Linked DNA regions of Drosophila melanogaster. Changing the gene in region 1 together with any one later gene gives a genetic interaction. Each region holds a gene or a part of one and is shown in the gene's direction. Other genes may lie near its edges. The genes, in order: Vps39 and l(2)gd1.

The links.
Region 2: of Vps39 (region 1) and l(2)gd1, changing one suppresses a phenotype caused by changing the other (phenotypic suppression), as found in Drosophila melanogaster (one study listed by BioGRID).

What each region holds. Positions count from the first base shown.
Region 1 is NT_033777.3:18,270,395-18,276,008, reverse strand, and holds Vps39 (vacuolar protein sorting 39), read left to right. Parts: upstream 1-1,562; 5' UTR 1,563-1,655; coding exon 1,656-1,725; intron 1,726-1,777; coding exon 1,778-2,250; intron 2,251-2,311; coding exon 2,312-2,561; intron 2,562-2,619; coding exon 2,620-2,867; intron 2,868-2,922; coding exon 2,923-3,806; intron 3,807-3,860; coding exon 3,861-4,263; intron 4,264-4,326; coding exon 4,327-4,629; 3' UTR 4,630-4,820; downstream 4,821-5,614. Other genes in the region: eIF1A (eukaryotic translation initiation factor 1A), read right to left, coding at 868-1,071; CG18599 (uncharacterized protein), read right to left, coding at 4,908-5,416, 5,534-5,614. UniProt on the Drosophila melanogaster protein: Part of the homotypic fusion and vacuole protein sorting (HOPS) tethering complex involved in endo-lysosomal vesicle trafficking and lysosome biogenesis.
Region 2 is NT_033779.5:11,105,049-11,111,427, forward strand, and holds l(2)gd1 (lethal (2) giant discs 1), read left to right. Parts: upstream 1-1,894; 5' UTR 1,895-2,016; coding exon 2,017-2,073; intron 2,074-2,160; coding exon 2,161-3,759; intron 3,760-3,817; coding exon 3,818-4,249; intron 4,250-4,307; coding exon 4,308-4,459; intron 4,460-5,056; coding exon 5,057-5,201; intron 5,202-5,267; coding exon 5,268-5,387; 3' UTR 5,388-5,793; downstream 5,794-6,379. Other genes in the region: Reps (RALBP1 associated Eps domain containing), read right to left, coding at 1-88, 157-476, 559-963, 1,019-1,165; Idua (alpha-L-iduronidase), read right to left, coding at 5,794-5,873, 5,932-6,379. UniProt on the Drosophila melanogaster protein: Phosphatidyl inositol monophosphate binding protein involved in endosomal protein sorting through regulation of the endosomal sorting required for transport (ESCRT) pathway.

The sequences.
Region 1 (5,614 bases):
TGCGGACGTATGGTATTTCATGGAATGCAGTTTGACCACCCAAATTAGTGCTATAAAGGAGGCTGTATTCGCAATTGAAAACATGTAACTGAATAGCTAATTCAAATGCAAAAGATATACGCAAAATTTTGCGTAAGGTGTACTACCATGAAAAAATTGAAAAAAAAAGTGCGTAGCAAAACTTTTTCACTAGCTTAGTTTCAGAATCGCTGAAGTGAAAACTGACTATATATATCATACTTCTTATGATATATATATATATACTTATATGATATATCATACTTCTATTGTTTAAAATGATATATATTGTATCAATAAAATTAAATTTCATATGGTTTTAAGTAGACAGTAAAGTGAAATTGACTATAACCTCGACAGAATAGTACTTATTTTAAGTATTACGCCTTTTTACATTTCAAATCGAATTATTTGAAAGAATTAAGTATCGGCGGTCACCCTGTATTTGCAGTGCTATTGCTTTGCTTTCATCTACATACATACATCAGTGCATAGGCACTTGCGTATTATTAATCAGCCGCCCCGTCCACACCGCCCACTGCTCTTTTGTTAATGCATTCGCACAAGGACGATGACACCCACTCAATAATGGACCAGTAAAAGAGAATTGCAGAAAAAGAGAGTTGAAAATTAGGTATAGAAAGGTCGAAAGTTAGCAGGGTAATGCAAAATCCCCCAAAATCACAAAAACTGCCTGCATTTCAACAAAAACAATAACGTAAATACGTAGCATTCGCTGGCAATCAATGCCAAAATGGCTTAAGAGAGCCACCTTAGAGAGGGGCACCCACTCAACGCAAGCGAAGAGAGCACAGGCGAAACAAAGAGCGTAGTCAGAGCAGCACTCACCTTCTTGCGAAGTTTCCCCCGAATGTGACACAGGCGTTTGACGCCATCAAAGCACATTGCCTCCAGACGACCGTTGCCCAGCATCTTGGTCACCTGCGCGTACTCCTGTTGGTCCTCCTTGAAGATCAGCTCACGCTTCTCGAACTCGTTCTCGTTCTTACCACGACGACGATTCTTGCCTCCTTTTCCTTTATTCTTGGGCATTTTGGCTGTTTGCTGTTGTTGCTGTGCAGCTACTTTCGATGTTGTTGCTGTCTGCGGGCTTGTTGGCGACCCTGGAGCGGGAACGGGGTAAAACTGTTACTCAACGACTTCACTGGGTGGGTAGTAATGCAATGAAAACATTCAACCCGAAATAAAGCGACAGAGTTGTTTCAAAACTTACAATTTTGTCAAATGTAAATGTGACAATTTCGCCTCGCTAAAGTGAAAAGGACTAGAGGTGGACGGTTTCGCGGGGAACCAGTATATCGAACTGGTGCTATCGACAGCAATGCAGAGTCTGGCAGCATTCGTTTAAAGTATCGTAATTTAAAATTTCACTCAACTTTTTAGTCATTAGCGATTGAATCTTAAATTATAACATGTACAAATTTTATTTTCTACTTTGTATATTTAAGTTATTTCGCTATCACCATAAGAGGAAGAAATCGATTTACCACCGCTAAAGCTATCGATATCTATCATCATCAGCTATCATTAGTGGTACTCCCATCTGGTTTGTTTATAAGCTTTTTTACGAAAATAAATTGAGGCGGAGGAGACCGAAGTTTTTCCACTTGGCCAAGATGCACCAGGCCTACAGTGTTCACTCGATCCTGAAACAGGGCGTGCAGATAGAGTCAATTGCGGCATATGGTGAGTGGAATTTTCGGTGCACAGCTATTACTCACCGGACGCATTTTTTCAGGCAACCATGTCATCTTGGGCACCCGCAGCGGACAGCTGATCATGTACTCTGTGGACGAGGAGACGGGCGTGGACATGCGGATGTTCAACAAGAACTTCAGCCGGAAACCGATCACCCAAATGGAAGTGATTGCCTCGGAGAACCTGCTCTTCGTACTCACCGACTTACAGGTGCAGGTGTGCGACATTCGGCGGATTGAGAGCAACTTCGCTTTCATGCACAGTGCGCCCGACACGAAGGGATGCACCCTGTTCACCATGGACGTGGACACGCCGAAGTCCACAACCGGACGTGTGGCCACCGTCATACGGGTGTGCTGCGCTATCCGGCGGCGTCTTGTGTTCTTCTTTTGGAAGGAGGACAAGCTTAATTCCCTGGAATTGATCATCGAGCTCAGCGATGTGCCCAGGACACTGTGCTGGGTGGGCCATGCTGTCTGCGTGGGCTTCAAAGACGAATATGTTGTTTACGATGTGAGAAATGCTTTAAAGTCGATTTACTTCGTATTTTAAAGGTCTGCATATCCAATTCTAGATATCAGGAAAAGCACCAAAGAAGCACAACCTCTTCCTTACCTCCTCTAGTATCAGCAGAGATCCCTGCATTTGCCTTATCCGGAACAACATGTTGGGCATCTCTAAGGACAGCTACCTCGTCGTAGTAGATCCGAGTCAGTACAAAGAATCGGATGGAATCAATAACTCAACAGATGTCCGGCCAGCTGCCATGGACAGCAATAGTTCCCTAACTCCTCTGCTCTGGTCAAGTCCGCTTTTAGATCTGGGTACGATACTCACTATTCACTTCAAGCCAATTTCTAAATCACATTATCTTCATTACAGTCTGGGATGAGCCATTCGCTGTGGGTCGTGTCAACAACGCCATCGAGGTGCGCAGCCTAGTGGGCAAGGACACCCTGGTCCAGACCATTCCCGAGCTACAGAAGACGAAATTCCTGGTTCACGCCGACAAGGGAACCATCTTTGCCGCCGCCACCTCCGAGCTTTGGTGCATTCGAATGGTGGAAATCCCTATCCAGCGTCAGCAGTTGCTACAGCAAAAGAAATTCCAACTGGCTATTGAGCTGACGGTGAGTCCGATAAACGAAATCAAAATACGACGACTACAACAAACTTTATGTTCAGCAAATCTCCGATGAACCTGCCGCGGACCGAGCCCAAACCATTCGCCAGATACACATGCTCTATGCGAAAGAGCTGTTTACCAATAAGGAGTTCTCGGCGGCCATGAAGGAGTTTGAAAAGGCGGCTATAGATCCCTACGATGTGATAAGACTGTTCCCAAACTTGGTGCCAGAACCAAAGCCCGGCACCGAAGATGTCACCGTGCCTACGTCCAGTACTCCGGCGCTTGAGGATAGCGACCTGGAGAACGCCTACTTGGCACTGATCGAGTATCTGGCATGGGCCCGACAGCGGGAGGTGGTCAAGCTGCGCGACACTAAAAGTAGTTCAAAGTCCCTGCTGGAGATCATCGATACAACGTTGCTGAAGTGTTACCTGCAGACAAACGACTCTCTGGTGGCACCACTGCTACGCCTAAACCAGTGCCACTTAGAGGAGTCGGAAAAGACGTTGAAGAAGCACAACAAGATCTCTGAACTTATCATCCTCTACCAGATGAAGGGCAAGCACAAGGAGGCCCTTAAACTGCTTCGAGAGCAGGCGAGCATCGAAGGATCTGTGCTGCAGGGTCGCAAGCGTACCATACGCTATCTTCAGGAGCTGGGTGGTGATCATCTGCCGCTGATCTTTGAGTTCGCTGACTGGGTCTTAAACGATAATCCCGAGGAAGGCCTAACCATTTTCACCGACGAACTTATTGAAGTGGAATCCCTGCCGCGCGCCAAAGTTCTTGATTTTTTTATTAGCAAGCACAAAGCACTTGTCATTCCCTATTTGGAGCACGTAATCACTGAATGGAAGGACGGCAACACCCTGCTCCACAATGTGCTCCTCAAGCAGTATCGCGAAAAGGTGCAACGGCTTCTTGCTCAGCAGGAAAAAGGGTGAGAGTCTGTCATTGTACTGGATCAAAATGCTTATACTCACCTGTTTTCTAGAGAGGAAGTTCCCGAACTCATTCCGATGCGAGCCAAGCTCTACAAGATGTTGGAGGAGTCCAACGACTATTCGCCGGATCGCCTCCTAGAGGAATTTCCAACCAATATACTCTTGGAGGAGCGTGCCCTAATCCTGGGCAGGCTCAAAAAGCACGACAACGTCCTGTCCATCTATATTCATGTTCTCGGAGATGTGGCCAAGGCAACGGCCTATGCGGAAGCCCATTACAAAGAGGACAAGCACATATTTCACACGCTCATTAAGTGCATATTAATACCACCAACTCAACCGCTCTATGATGGTGTGCCCTTGCATCCGGATTTCTCGCAAGTGAATCGAGAGGTGGCCCTGGAAATACTTAACACCCACGCCACCAGAATCGATCCATTCGAGATCTTCGAGGTGAAGAATGCATTGAATGCATGACTTATTAGAAATATTTCTCAACCATTTTGGATTTTGCAGCACCTTCCCGATGACATGCCCATGCCCCAGCTGGAGAAATACTTGGAGAAATCTATACGTAAAATGATGGCCGACAAGCACGAGATGCAGATGATGTGCGGCTTCCTGGAGGCAGAGTCCACGCGCCTGGAGAATGCCTTGGAGGAGCAGCGAAACATTAGCTTCGAGTTAAACGAGTCTAGTGTGTGTTCCGAGTGCAAGAAGCGTTTTCAAACCCAGTCCGCCTTCGTGCGCTATCCAAATGGGCACATCGTGCACCTATCCTGCCACGATCGGCTCGCCAGGGCGGCTGCTCAGCAATAAGTGAAATACTCCAATGTGATAACTGATCAAGGTATAAAGTGCGAATTGAGTGTAAATGTCTGTATTATTCTGTTTTTAAATAAGCTTTTTCAGTACTCGTATGTAATGGATATACTGCAATGCTTATACAATATAATATAGTTTGCATTGATTGATTGTAACAATCAACTTGCAGCTAATCATCAACAATTAAAGACAAGCAGAAGTATAGAAAACCGATATTGTACATATTTATTTGACTATATTTACAGGAAACTTGCTTTGCACTGGCGTGGTTTTTAGGCCTCCTCGCTGCCGTCCATGAGGCTGTCGCCGTCCAGGGAATCGTTACAGATGGACAAATCCGACTCGGACTGCGCTCGACTCAACGGCGGTAATGCGCCCGAAAGCGACAGCGAGTGCTTGCTATCCTCGTTGTCCTCCTCCTGCAGGCTGGGCGAGGCTGCACTGCATCCGTTTGTGCGTTCCGTGGACACAGAATGGGCCGCATTGGCCGACACGGATACTTGATTGCCCAATAACGATGTACCTGGCAGTTGAGTTTGCCTTATCAATGCCAGCCGTTGTTGTGTCAGTTCCAAGTGGTGCTTGCGCCACTTGATCCGCCTATTCTGGAACCACACCTTCACCTGAGCCTCCGTTAACTTTAGGGTGTGTGCCAAGTAGAGCCGCTCCGGGCCGACCATGTACTGCTGGCGCTCGAACTCCGCCTCCAGGCACTCCAACTGCTCCGGCGTGAAGATTGTCCGGACGCGCTTGTTCTTCAGTGCGCTCTTCTTGTGAGAATCTGCCGAATCACAAAATGATGATCAAATGGAGGTATTAGATGTGCACACACTATGTTTACTTAATACCCACTTATGATCAAATCATGGGTTATTCATCGACTGAAACACCTGCTTACCCGACTTGAGTTTTTCCCGCTGAAAGCTCAGGGTGGCCTGCTGCTGAGCGTGGTGTTGCTGGTGGAGCTGCTGCAGGCTCT
Region 2 (6,379 bases), on another chromosome or scaffold:
ACTTAGCGCTCCATCGCGGGTAACGTCACACAACTGCCAAATGTGACGTAGCTCCTCCACAGGAATGCGGCTCTTTTCAAAAAAGTTTCTAATAAAAAAAGGAATAAGAAAATAATAAGAAGAATAAAGTTATAAACGTTCCTAAAGCCAACTTACCTTGCTGCTTGGCCCGAAAGCAGACCATGCGGATCCCTTTGCACCGTCCTGAACTGCTTATTATAGTACTCGCGCTGTTCCGGGGTTATCTGGTAAATGGTCACCAATTCGCTCTCGTTGTCATCGTCGTCGCTGCTGTGGCGATCGGAAGACTCTTCCTCCGTGCCTAGCAGCTGGCGATGCTCGTCGCCCAGCAAACCCTGCCAGAGGGTGTCCTGCGCCCAAGGCCGCTCAGCCACGCTGTTGGTGGGCGTGGGGCTGTCACTGTTAGTGCTCCAGGCTTCTGGCGATCCACCACCAGTACCGCCTCCTCGTCGTCGCTAAAAGAGATAAGGCATGGACGGGGATCGGTCAATGGTAAGCTTATTTACAAATGTCACAAGATAAGATAGAAGTACAAACCCCGACATTTTCGCGGCTGCTGCTGCTGACGACCCCACAGCCATCCGTACCTCGTCCATGGCCTGTCGCATCGTCCACTGATTCGTTTTGCTCAACCTCGGAGTCGGTGCTGGGCACATCAGAGGTGTCTTGCAGCTGCTCTTGCTGCGAGTTACGACGCAGTGAATTTCTGCGATCTGTGGGTGGTGGCGGTGGCAAGGCAGTCAATCCATTTTCGACAGCCACCGGAGCTGTAACCGCCTCCTTCCAGCTAAAGTGCGGTAATGGAAGCGGAAACGTGGCCAAGATCAGCTCCTGGCGCAGGGGCATGGCCGCCTGATGAGCAGCGATTAGCTTCAGGCATGAGTAGAACTGTGTCCGCGAGATGTGTAGCGCCGTGGAGGGTATCCCCGCCAGACCGGTGATCTATAAGCCCAGACCCAGATAATTAATCACTCACGATCACACAAATTGGACCTACCTCAATCACGGTCTCATTGGCGATGTCCGCCGAGCGAAAGAGCTCGGTGGCCTTAAGCATGGGCACCTTGCCTGTCTTCTCCACGTCGCAGCATTGGAACAACTCACTGTAGAAGCGCGTCTCCGGCTCAGTGAGGGACACGTCCATGCCTGTCGCCTACTTGTTGCCGTCTCTGGTTTCGTTTACCAAGCCGCTGGTTAACGAGCCACGCCCCGTTCGTCCGTCCTGGACCCGGAATCCAATTCGTTTGTTTACTTCCACGTTTAACCCAGCAGGCCAGTGCCGACCCCGCTGCCCCGCGCTGCTCACAACCAGAAGTCTGATGATTTTCTGCCTTTGGCCCCCAAGACGGAGTTGGAGGAGGTGGAAGCTGGGAGAACTGCGGGGACGATGGTTTCGCTAACTTCTTGGTGCCACCACAACCACGATGGTTAGAGGATTCACGGCACTGGTCGACGAGGGTACACCTAGTGCCTCAAGCTGCTCGGCGCACAATCAATTTGGCTTTTTGTCCAGGTTTTTTTTCGCAAACTCTTTTGCACTGTGTGTGCGCTGGCTCTCGATATCGATAGGTTGCGGTATCGATTCGATTAGACAGCTGGCGCGGCAGCCCTGTACCTGTTAGCGTTTCGCAGCCCTAGTTACCGGCAAAAGTTTAGTTCCGCAGGATTGATGTTTTGTAAGGTGGCTTACCATGTTCATTTATATTTCATTATGGATTAAACTATAATAAAATTTAATGTTGCTGAATGAAGAAAAAATCATTTCTTCATTATTTTTAACGATATTTTTTTAACCGTCAACAAATTTCCTGTAGCCCTGTGCCACTGACGTCACCAATTCGCAAAGACTTTCCTGCGTCACCTTTCGTTGCACCACAGTGATCCCCACTCTGTTATTGTTGTCTGCGGCTGAACTGTTGCGACGCAAAAATTTAAAGGATTTGAAAGTCTTTATAGACTTATTTTAGTTAATAAACAGCCTCTGTGCAATCAAGGATGTTCTCCAGAAAGAAGCCAGAGCCAGCGAAAAGAAGGCAACACGATTTATCGCAGGTGAGAGGAAAAACAAACAGTCTAGATCCGTCTATTTATTAATTATGACTCATCGTTTGGACTGTCTTTTTTGTTTTTTGTGTTTAGTTCGGTCTTACGGAAATCCCAGATGATTTTGATCCCAGCGCTGGATATGGTGAGGACGATGGGGGTGACAGTGATTTGGAGGCAGAGCTTGCGGCCATAACCGGCGGAGAAGGAGCCAAGCCAAAGCCCAAGCCCAAAGCAAAGCTGTTACCCGCCAGTGATTTGGACAAAATGATAGCCGACAGCTTGCGTGATGTCAGCGACGATGATGATGATGACAATTTGGAAAGCGATCCGGATCTTCTTGGCGAGCTGAGCGGAATCGGTGGTCTAGAGGAGGCAGAGGAAGAGGAGCCTGTCGCACAACCGCCAGCTGCCTCTGAGGAACCCGTCCAGACCTTTCTGCCCACGACGACTGTGGACACATTAAGCATTATCAAACAGCGCCTGGAAATGTACAAGCAGGCCGAGGCCAATGCCAAGACTGCCGGCGATTCTGGCAAAGCAAGGCGATTTGGAAGAGGCCTTAAGACTCTGAAAGATCTGCACAGGCAGGCAGCGGCTGGCAAGTCCATTAACGTGGATGACATTCCACCTGAAGTCAGTGTAAAGCCAATTGGCGGGCAGGCTCCTCCAGTGCCTGCAGAGGAGTCACCAGCTCCTTCCACACCTGCTTCCCCTCCGCCTGTGCCTAGTCGTGCAGCTCCAGATCCACCAACCCCCGGCACCCCCGTGGAGCCCACTACATCTGTGGCTCCCACATCTCCCCCTAATCCTCTTGTGACGCAAATGCGCAGCCGCCAGACGGACTACAAAGCTGCTGCACTGCAATCTAAGCGCAGTGGTGACATATCTACTGCCCTTCAGTTTCTCAAAGTGGTCAAGCAATTTGACGTAGTTATAAAAATGTGTGAAGACGGACAGGAAGTTGATTTGAGTGACATGCCCCCTCCACCAGCTGAGTTTCTTGAATTCCTTAAAAAAATGCAAGAAGAAGCAGCCGCAGAAGCTGTCGCAGAACCTACTGCTGCCCCAGAACCCACACCTGTTGCTCCTGCTCCTGTTCTAGCAGCTGCAACAAATATGTTGGAGGCTCTGCAGCAACGTTTAGAGAAATATCAATCTGTAGAAGCGGCAGCCAAGGCAGAAAACAATAGCGGAAAAGCAAGACGCTTTGGAAGGATTGTGAAGCAATACGAAGATGCCATAAAGTTGTACAAGGCAGGCAAACCAGTGCCTTACGATGAGCTGCCTGTGCCACCAGGTTTTGGACCGCTGCCTACGGCTGATGCTGCTCCTGTCGCGCCGACACCGTCGCTGCCCACTTCGCCTACATCTCCACCGCCAACAGCAAGTACTTCCGCAGGAGGAACACCCTCCAGTTCCAGTGCGACGACACCTACAGCTCCTCGAAAAGCACCTTCACCTCCTAAGCCCAAAGAGTTAACAACACGCACGTCTGGCAATCAGCAGAAGAATAATATTGCCGAGCAACAAATGAAACTGCTCCTCGAGCGCCAAAAGGAGTTTAAGCTAGCTGCTATAGAGGCCAAAAAAGCGGGAGAAATAGATCAGGCGAAGGAGTACCTCAAGATCTTCAAGGGATTCGATTCCCTTCTTAATGCAGCGAGTAGTGGATTGCCAGTGGACCTCAGCACTGTAAGTTTTGCATTACATCTTCTTCTTGTATGGCTAACTATATATTTTTTTTTTTCAGCTTCCCGTCCCGCCTTCACAAAGGGATAATCTAGAAGCCTCCTTTGCCATTGTATCTGCTGAGGAATGCGATCCGACAGATGATATCTGTGAAATTGGTGTTCGCATGGAGGAGCAGCTGGCAAAACAACTGATGATGTGCAAAAATACGCGAGATCATCACAAAGCTATGGGAGATGTAGCAGGCATGAATCGGTTTGAAAATTTAGCCTTAACTGTGCAAAAGGATTTGGATTTGGTGCGATACTCGAAACGAAAGAATGAACCACTGCCAAAGTTTCACTATGAAAAGCGTAGCTTCAACATTGTGCATTGCAACACAGATCTCACAGACAGTGAGCTTGAAATTGTTGTGGTCCGGGGAATCAGCTACAATGTGGCCAATCCCAAGGACGTGGATACTTATGTGCGCGTAGAGTTTCCCCTGCTCAATGTAAGCTAATTACCAACATTTAAAGTTTCACCAATTATTTATATGTTTTCGTTTTAAGGATGAATCTTTCAAGACTAAAACCAATGTTATCAGAGACACCAGCAGTCCTGACTACGATGAACGCTTCAAGGTTGACATCCAGCGGACCAATCGTCAGTTCCAGAGAATCTTTAAGCGGCATGGCGTCAAGTTTGAAATATACTCTAGAGGGTAAGTTGCCCGTACATAAAAGAACTGAGCTAGAACAATTATTTAATCCGTACTAAGAAGCTTTCCATGCATATTAATCTCAACTAACGGAGGCGGTATATGATCTTATTTACGCGTATTAATTTTCCAAGGAATACTTAGTAATATCCGATGAGTAGTAATCTTCTACATTTTGAAATAGCCTTAAAGACTTAAATAAAAATATATATATAATTTTAAAAAATATTTGGCATAGATCATTTTGCGAAAATTTAAAAAGCTGTTGATTGAGCTGCATACCTACTAAATATTTTTATCCAATTTGTAGGTTTCGCTTGGGTATTAATTTGCTCTTAATATTAAGTTTCAGCTCTTAATTTGAATTATTAAATTTTTCCCGTAGTAAGCATGTTCCTTTGGTCCCGTAAAACAGTATCGTACGAGTCACGGCTTCAAGCACACATATATTTCACCGTATGTGTCTACCCATTGATCTTCTTGATTGATTCTCACAAGGAACATTTTAATGAAATATTTTTACAAATTTTTACGCCTCAATTCCCAACAATTCAAACAAAAAATAAATGTCATCCAATGCTACGCATTTAATATAAATAGCTGCAGTATAGATTGTTGTGGACTAAGTCGTAAACTGCCCCTGTGTTGTTTCAGAGGTTTTCTGCGATCGGATACGTTGATCGGAACCGTAAATGTCAAGCTGCAGCCATTGGAGACCAAGTGCGAGATACACGACACATATGATGTAAGTGATAACTACTATAATAAAATAATATAAACTTAAATTTAACCTATGTATTCCTTAAAACAGCTAATGGATGGTCGCAAGCAAGTAGGTGGAAAATTGGAAGTCAAGATACGCGTTCGCAATCCTATTCTCACCAAGCAAATGGAGCACATCACCGAAAAGTGGTTGGTCTTGGATGCCTAGGGCTAAACAAGAAAATTTAAATAAAATAGGAACGCGTCCCCTTGCGATTGTTCTCGATTAAGTCACTAAGTTATTTGTTTGTAAATATCCCTCACAGAAAATTCAATTTATCTAAGTATGTACGCTTTTGCCGATTCCTTCGCAGGAAGAAGGCATTTATATATTACGAACACAACACATATAATGTACTATAAATATCTTTATATATAAATAATATATGTATATATGATATTGCCGGCGTTAAGGCGAAGGCGCAAGTCCAGAAGATTGTGCCGGTGAAGTCAGTCCATTCCAAGAGAGACAGATTGAGAGTAGGATCGGTCCACTAGCGCCTAGCCGAAACCTGATTATGTTAGCTTTCACATTGCATAAATATTTTCTTTTGATTTATAAACTGTTTGTTGAACTACAACTCCAGATATTCGACTATTTGTGAGTAGGGACTGGTTTCATTAAACACATCCACACCGCGAACTTTATAGAAACCTGCCGACAAAAAAAGATTTCGGTTATGAAAGATGGAAATTTTGCAGGTTATGCTCACCATTGACGGATCCCTTATCGCCGGGCGCATACTGAAACGACGGATATGGCAGATGCCAGCCCTGTGAGATGAGCATCCAGTCGGCGGAGCGACCCAGATTATCGCGTTCCTTAAACCACACCTCGTAGCTGAGAAGGCACTGCGTGGATTTGGGGTGTTCCATCCAGCTAATGAACACCTCACGCTGAGTCACCTCTGCGATGGAAAGTTGCTGCGGTCGTCGCAGTTTGGGCCAAGATGCGGAACACACCCGGAGCAGCATCGCCCAGGGCAGTGGGATGCTGGCGGAGTTGATAACTAGCTCGCTGTTGTACTGCCAGATGGGTCCCGTCTTGTAGAGTCTAGGTGCTTGGGCTCTTCGCATCGCTTCCCTTAGAGTGGCGTTGGGATAAGCCGGACTTCCAGCTTGCTGCCATATGTAGTACGGATCCGTTTCCTTTGGCACCAG